Linked DNA regions of Rhinolophus ferrumequinum. The protein of the gene in region 2 purifies or fractionates together with the protein of the main gene of each other region. This does not show direct contact. Links are inferred from orthologs where the notes say so. Each region holds a gene or a part of one and is shown on either strand. Other genes may lie near its edges. The genes, in order: RNF7 and ASB2.

Region 1 (3,912 bases), on a different chromosome or scaffold from region 2:
GCATGACACTAAAATGACCAAGTCTGGTCCCTGGTTTCCCTGTGCCATCTGCTCATTTCAGAATGAAGGGAGGAGAGTGGAAACCAAGGAGGAGAGTGTTAACATCAAAACGGGTAGACAGACAAATCTTGGATCAAGAAGTCATAATAAATCATTTAGGCATATGAGATGAATTCCAAGTATTAAGGAAATGGGTTAAGTGGGCTTTTTTTGTAGAATCTAGAAATCTCTGATTTATGCTTATAGCTTTGATTTAGACTCATGATAAAAAACTGACCTAAACTGACAAAAATTCCCAAAGTTTCAGATAAAAGAAAAAAGTATCTAAAACAGTATTTTTTTAAGGAGTGCAGTAATAGTAACATCTTTTAGAGTAATGGTAGGATAAGGATTGGGAAGTCTGAAAAATTTCCTTCTGCTGTTTACCTGACCACTAAGTGGATTTTAACACCTCATAAACAAAATACAAAGGTCTAGTCTATAGTACTTCCCTGAACTCAAAGTATAGCTGTTGTAAACCTGCAACATTAATCCACAGTAGCAGAATACTTGCTATAATTAGAAAGTTACTGTGAATGGAGCCATTTATAGCCCATACTTTGACTTACTTTAAATATCCCAGTTAAAGTTTATTTGCTGCAAGATTTCAACCATTAAATTCTGCATTTCTACTTACTAGTTTTAAAGTTTTCTTTGGGGGGGGAAGAAAATGCGCTTTTAGAAACATTCTTCATTTTTAGACTAAAGGAAATTTAGGGGACAAAATTTTTAGCAAAGCCAGTCTTGCAAAAAAGCAAAAAAATTAAGTCACCTGTATAAGTTAAAAATGCCACCCAAACTGGAAATTATGATTGTAATTCCTAAGTAATGGGTGGGGTATGGGATAAGAAGGCTGCACTGCAGGCCAATAAACGAGGTGTTTTAAAAACCTAATGTACAAAATAAGTGAGTCATGTCTGAAGTTAAGCTCTTTAAAACAAAACAAAAAACATCTGAACTCCATTTTGCTGTAAATCCTCTTTGAAACAGGTCCTTATGAATAAAAAACAAGACAGCACACTAAAGAGACTATAAATTGAGAAATCTCTTGATTCTGGTAAATTTAAAAGTTTTATCCCTCAAGAAGGAACAACGATTTTATTTATTTTCTCCAATTCTCGCATTTTCAGTGCAAGACAGTAGAAACCTCAAGACTATAGAAACCTCAATTTTCTTCATCTACCCCTAAGAAACAACATTTTGGATGCTCTCACAGTAGTTTTAAATGCCATACTTAAATATACAACTTGCATTTAAACAGCGCCTCCTTTTCAAGGTGGCCTGAGACTCTAAAACAAACCATATAAGACAAAAACGGGATGAAGCTGCTCTCAAAGGTTTCACTTGGTCCGACATTTTTATTCAAAATATAAAAAGAAGTAAGATATTTGTAAAAGCGGGTTCTCCACAAAGACCTGACTCAGCGCAGGGCAGTTGTCTTCTCCAGGAAATGGCAAGCTATGAGAGTGAGGGGCCAGGAAGGGGATGAAATTCTGTTTCTGAGTAAACGGCTCACATTATTCAATTCCCACGACACTTAAATATTTTTGAACCACATGTAATCTCCTTCAAGCCAGGCGAGTGCCGTCTGACCCGTCTTGAATCGCACAGATTTAATGGCCAGCAGCAGCACAACCGTAGCTAATCCAGAAATGAATGCAATGGCTGGGAACACTTTTCTTCCCTGCATCTCTCAACAGCAGCACCGAGGGTGTCGCTTTTGTGGAAGATGACCAGAGCACCACTTTGGTGTGTGACCAGAACCATTCAAGTTGCTCTGCGAAATCAGGACCTTTACCCTGACCTCTTTGTGGTTTGCTTTTAGCGCAGGGCTGGGACTGGCTACACGTACCAAAGCGGTTCCTCCCAGCTCCCAGAAAACCACCTAGTAGTATTTTCTTGGCCACACCCATCGCTACCTGAAATTATCTTGTTTAATTCCTCTGTTTACTGCCAGTTTCTCCCCCGAAAATCCAGCCCCAGGCACTGTGCGTCTGTTGAGCGACCCCACCGCCCCTGGCGGCCGCCCCAGCACCGGCCGGGACAGAGCGATCCCCGCCCCCACTCCTCCAGGTAAGGGTCTCTCCGAGCCTTCGCTCGTCCCCCGTCCCGGACCCGGACCCGCGCAGGCCGGAGCGCAGCCCGGGCCTAGCGTGCAGCGCTTACCCATCACCTGGACCCTGCAGATGGCGCACGTATCGCACTCCACGTCCCAGCTCCACATGGCCACCGCGTTCCACTTCTTGAGAGAGAACATTTTGTCGCCTCCCGACTTGGAGCCTGCGCTCCCGGAGTGAGAGGACAGGGCGCAGGGCTCCTCGCCGTCTTCCACGTCGGCCATGACTACGGCGCGGAGCCGGCGGCGGAGACGTTGGCTAGGGGAAGGCACGCGGCTATGGCGGCTCTGCCGGGCCGCCCGACGGGCCACAGCGCCGCCCGCAGGCCGCCCGCCACCGCGGTGCTTACGACAGAGGTCGCCCGCGATTGGCTGGCGCGGGGCAGTGACGTCACCACACGCCAGCTCTCGGACGCAGTCCCCACCCCCGCCCCATGCTGGGACAACGTAGAGGGCTGAGGGCCCAGGGGCCACCACCGGCAGGAGGGCGGCCCTCGCGCTGTCGGGTGTTACTGTCGTGAGAGCTGCCTTAGGCCGTTATGAAACTTACTACTCTCAGAAATTATCTCCTTAACATAGCCGTTTGTCGTCCCTCCCAAATGTAAACTCCAGCAGAGCAGGGCCCATGTCTTTATCGTCACCTTGGCCTCCTTATCAGAAAAAAAGAAATGCCTGGCCACAGGAGGCCCAGTTATTTGTTGAGTGAATGACCTTAATGATCTTCTAGAAATCTGGTTCAATGGTTCCTCAATCGTTTTGGTCTCAGGACGCCTTTATACTTAAAAATTAAAGAGCTCTTGTTGTGTGGACAATACAGAAGGTGCCAAAAAAACATGTATACACATTTTAAGAAAGGGAAAAAACTATTAAAATTGTAATACTCCATATATACCTAACAAAAGATGAACACAAGTCTTAGGTTTGACACCTGCAATTACAAGAGGTGCTCAAAGTGGTTACCATCAGCACAATTTTGATACATTTTCCTTAAAATGTGTATACATCTTTTTGGCACCCTCTGTATATATTTGTTTTTTAAGAAATTAAAAGATGAAAAAATTTAAATATATTAATCCATTTTAAAATAACAGTAATAAACCCATTACGAGTTATTATTGGAGCGATGGCATCACATATAATAATGTAGCTTCTGGAAAACTCTGTACATTCATAGAGTGAAAAGAGAAATAGCTCTGAATATTGTTATGGGAATAGTTTTGACCTCTGAAAGGAGCCCAGAAATCCTGGGGACCACTCTGTGAGAACCTCTGGTTTAACCTTTTATATGTGGGAGGAATGAGGTCCAGGGAAGTAACTTAAAGAGCACATAGCTGCTACGTGATGGTGACAGTTTTGAAGCCAGGGTTCTTCTATTGCTAGCCCAGAGTCATAGAATTATGTCTTCCCAAGCAAAGCAGACACCTCCATTTAAAAGATAAGAAAGCTGAGGCACAGAGAGCCTAAGGAGATGCCTGATTGCCATCACCATCTAGTGGTGGACACCTGCTGTGTCAGGTTTGGGATTCTGAGCCTCAGCTTTTACTGGTCCACCCATCATCCCCTCATCTCCTGGTGCCCCCAGGCTTTGTACCTGGGTGGGGGCTAACCAAGCTCAAGGAGCCTGGCAGAAAAGACAAGGATGCATAACTACATCAAATATAAATATGGACACAAGGTCATATTTGACTAGATGCTAATGTGTGCTGTTTGTTGAGTGGTGTGTTAAGTGCTGGGAGGGAGAAAGACATTCCTGAGGA
Region 2 (3,912 bases):
CACTGCCTCTGGGTCTCTAGAGCCCAAGTGCAGCCTTGCCCAGCCCTGTTCTGGGCACCAGGACAACATGGCCCCTCACCTTGGCTCCTGGGTGGCAAAGGGTTCTAGAAGCTCTAGCTCCAGGCTGCAGAGTGGGAAGGGTCCAAAGGGGCAGGGCTGCCCTCCCAAGCCCCTTTCTCACTCGGGCCCAACGGCAGGGCTGGCTGCAAATCTTTGCACAGAGATCACAGCAAAATCAGCTAGGATCTTTCTTCTTTCTGTCCTCCACCCCCCTTTTCCTACCTTTACTTAAATCTTTTTCTTCTCCTCTCTCTGCTTTCCTTATCTTTCCTCTCTTTTCCACTCCTCTCTTTTGTGTCTTTTTCTTTAGAAAATTCAGGCAGTTTAGGAATCACTTTACTTTTATACCATCACTACCTCTCTCAAAGAGTTTCCTCAATCGCAAAACTCCTACCGACTTCATTTATATTGCTGGGCATTAATTAATCCAAAAGAAGGTGCTAAGGATGAGAAGTAAAGATACAAATCAGTCCTGTGACAGCCACCTCCTCCAGGCAGCCTGCCTCTCTGCAGCTCAGAAATGGAAGGGCATTGGGCGGGCCCAGGGATATTTTTGTGTCTCCTTCGGGAAGATTCTCTTGGATCCAGCCTGTCCACCATATACAGGCATCTTATGATGCCCTGGCTGTGCCAGGGACAGGTCTGTTTATTGCTGTGTTGGTGCCCTGGGAGGCCGCCGGAGACCGTGACTTTGAATGTGGCACCAGCGGCCAATAGGCCAAATGGCCAGGATTTGATTGCCGGCTTCAACACCCCCTAGCTGTCTGGCTTTAGGAAAGACCCTTAACCTCTCGGAAGCTCAGTTTCCCCATCTGGAAAGTGGGAGAAACGATCACCTCTAACTCTGACGTCCTCGAGAGAGTCAGTGAGAGAAATCACCACAAGCGCTGTGCTCAGTGCCTGGCTCATAGTAAGTGCTCAGTGAACGCTTATGGGTGCTGATTGTGTTATCAATTGTCAGGTCACCGGCAGTGGACAATATGGGGCCCCTACCCCAGGGAGGAGGAAGAGGCTGCCCGCTCCCCCACGAGGCACTCACGGCCTGGCCACTTTGGGTAAGAATGGATGATGTAAAGGAGAATGATGCCAGCTGGAGCTGTTGCCAGCTCCTTGAGGAGGCCGTGCTGTAAACAGGACTGCTACCAGCTGTCGGGACCCATCCAAGTGTTTTGGAAGTGACTGGAGCATCTGCCACTGGCTGCCTCCCTGTGTTCTGCCCCCGGCCTCTGATGGCAGAGGTGAGGGCTGTGGCTGGTGTGCTGGTCCCAGGTGGCTCTGCCTGGGCCCCTGTGAAGTCCCTCAAGCCCCTGCCTCATGCACGAGCTTTCCCTTCAGGGAGGCCACTCTCTGGTGTGTGTGTGTGTGTGTGTGTGTGTGTGTGTTGAGGAGGCGGGGTGGGTGGTTGGCCCCTACTCAGCCTCAGGTCTCCATCGTTTACCTGTCTTCCTAAGAGGCTCCGCCTCCCTGCGTCCTCCTTCTAGTCCATTCCCCCCTGGCTTCCTGAGGAGCTACCTGAAGTCAGATCCCGCCTTCACCCCCAACCCCAACCCCATGTCCCGCTCAAAAACAATTAGAATATGTCCCATCCTCTTGCCTGGCCTGGGGAGAGCTGCATTTGCCTCTGGCTCCCCCTGCCAGCTTCACCCCCATTTCTCACCTTCATGGCCCTTTGCCTCAGCCACACTGCGCTTCCCACCAATACCCAGACGCACCTTGACCTATCTGCCTTTGCCGACCTGAAGGTCCCTCTCCCGACCACTCTGCCTGATGACACCCCATCTGTCCTTTCAAAGGCCATCTCTTCCTTGAATTTGTCCTCATGCTTACACACACACACACACACACACACACACACGGTATTCTTGCATCTCTGCATTCCCACGTAACATTTTGCATTCTTTACACTGAGCCATAGTTTTTGTTTCCAGATTCTATTTCCTCTCCTAAATCCCAAGCCATTGCAGGTACAGCCCATGGCAAATTGCTTGCTGTTGCACCCACAATACTGGGCACATGCAGACACTCCATAAATGTCACATGAAATGGACACCCCCATGCATGAAAATATCTATTCAACCAACCTACAAGCATTTCTGAAAGCCATTTGTCTGACACATACTGCCCAAGGCCTATGAACCAACAATAGCATCTTTGATAACTGCTTTTGCATTTCCATTTTTAGAAGTGCACAGCAGAGTGATATTCTGAGCAAGAGTCCTCCAGAAGAATGGGTAGTACACGCAAACGGCTGCTTCTATGTCCCCCAAATCCAAAACGAAAGTCACCACCATGCTTTATAATTCAGAAGCATAGGAGAGAGAGGGAGAAAGTAGTCGGACTGCAAGTGGGAAGCACTAGCCAGCCAAATACTCTCTCTTGAGATCTGTATAAGAAAGTCGAAAGCATGCATTACCTGTTAGGCTCTGAAACAAGGGGACCGTTCAGGGATAATAAAAAGGATTTGCTTGAGGGTGTCTTAGTTCAGCACATGCCCCCAGAGTGTTTCTTCTCCCCTGGCCCTGAGCTTCTGGCGGCTCTGCCTGGCAGCTCTGAAACACTCTCCTTTGAAGCAGGGAGTTTATTTCGGGCCCACCGCATGACCAATGATGGCAAGCCAAACTATAAGATGTTATGAATCTCAGATTTCCTGTTTGAAGATTGCATGGAGGAAGCCGTGGTCCTGCCTTCAGCTCCTGCAGCCTGCATCAGTTACGGACTTCACTTCAGAGAGCATCTCGGAGCAGTGGCCCTCCTGGGACGTCATCACTTGTAATCCTTGACATGGAGGCCATATATGGGTATGTTTCTGGAACTTCTCCGGGAGGGAGTGAGAAGGGAGAGAGATGCAGCGGGTAAGAGACAGAGACAGGAGAAGAGAACAGAGAGACAGAGCTGGGAGAAAAGGAGACGAGAACAAGGGCAAAAGACAGTGTGGGAGAGACGAGAAGAGGAAAGAGAATGAAGGAAAAAAGAGGAACAATGGAAAGAGATGTTGGAGAGAAAGAAGGAAGAGGATGGAAAGAAGAGAGTGAGACGATAAGAATAAATGTACAGAAGAAAGGAAGAAAAGAAAATTGGGAAAAACGGGGAAGACAAAAGGAGAAAGAAATTGTGATTGTCTAAGAGATGAAAAGGGAGAGAGAAACTGGAGTATAAGAGGAATAGGAGAGAAAGACAGTATGGACTGGAAGAAAGGAGAGCGAAAGAGAGAGACAGAGAGAGAGAGGGAGAAAAGAGAAGCAAATGGGAGAGGAGAGAGGGAGGGAAGAGGGTTAAAAAGGATGGAGACAGGAAGGGTGGGAAAGAGAGAGAAAGAAGGGAGATTGAGAGCTATCTGTATTGAAGGGGGAAGGCAGGAAGGAAGGCAGGAAGGAAGGTGGGCTGAATGAGAGAGAAGGAAAGAGACAGGAAGAGAGGGATGAAAGTATTCAGCGTAAATGACCTTTGCAGAGACTGCCATTTGGAAGTACCAGGGATCCAGCTGCTGGATGCTGTGGAATAAGTCTGGAGCTACAGAGAAGAGGGACACACACACGCACACGCATGGGGGCAAGCCCTGGACAGAGGCACACAGTGGAATGGAACCCTTCCTCCAGGGCAAGGGAAGAATATCCCCTGTTTCTGCCATTGATTGAATGGCGCAGAATGTCAGCATCAGGTGACAAAGGCAACACGTACAGTCACTTGCGTTGAGCACCCAGGAGCGTGCACTGAGTGTTCCAGGAGCTTAAACACCCATAGGTGCATCCAGATCTCAGGCCAGAGTCTGCGGCCTGGAAATGTACCCTTGGTCCATTCCTCTCAGTGGAAAATAATTTCAGTTTCAAAGGCCCATACCCCTTGGAGGATATT

What was found.
Region 1: the proteins of ASB2 (region 2) and RNF7 purify together in Homo sapiens (affinity purification with western blotting; 3 studies listed by BioGRID and IntAct, with this or other methods). This does not show direct contact. The link is inferred for Rhinolophus ferrumequinum from reciprocal best matches to the Homo sapiens genes ASB2 and RNF7.

The regions. Positions count from the first base shown.
Region 1 is NC_046300.1:40,079,833-40,083,744, reverse strand, and holds the start of RNF7 (RING-box protein 2), read right to left. Parts: upstream 2,496-3,912; 5' UTR 2,381-2,495; coding exon 2,206-2,380; intron 1-2,205. UniProt on the Homo sapiens protein: Catalytic component of multiple cullin-5-RING E3 ubiquitin-protein ligase complexes (ECS complexes), which mediate the ubiquitination and subsequent proteasomal degradation of target proteins.
Region 2 is NC_046289.1:9,095,550-9,099,461, reverse strand, and holds the start of ASB2 (ankyrin repeat and SOCS box protein 2), read right to left. Parts: upstream 2,803-3,912; 5' UTR 2,474-2,802; intron 1-2,473. UniProt on the Homo sapiens protein: Substrate-recognition component of a SCF-like ECS (Elongin-Cullin-SOCS-box protein) E3 ubiquitin-protein ligase complex which mediates the ubiquitination and subsequent proteasomal degradation of target proteins.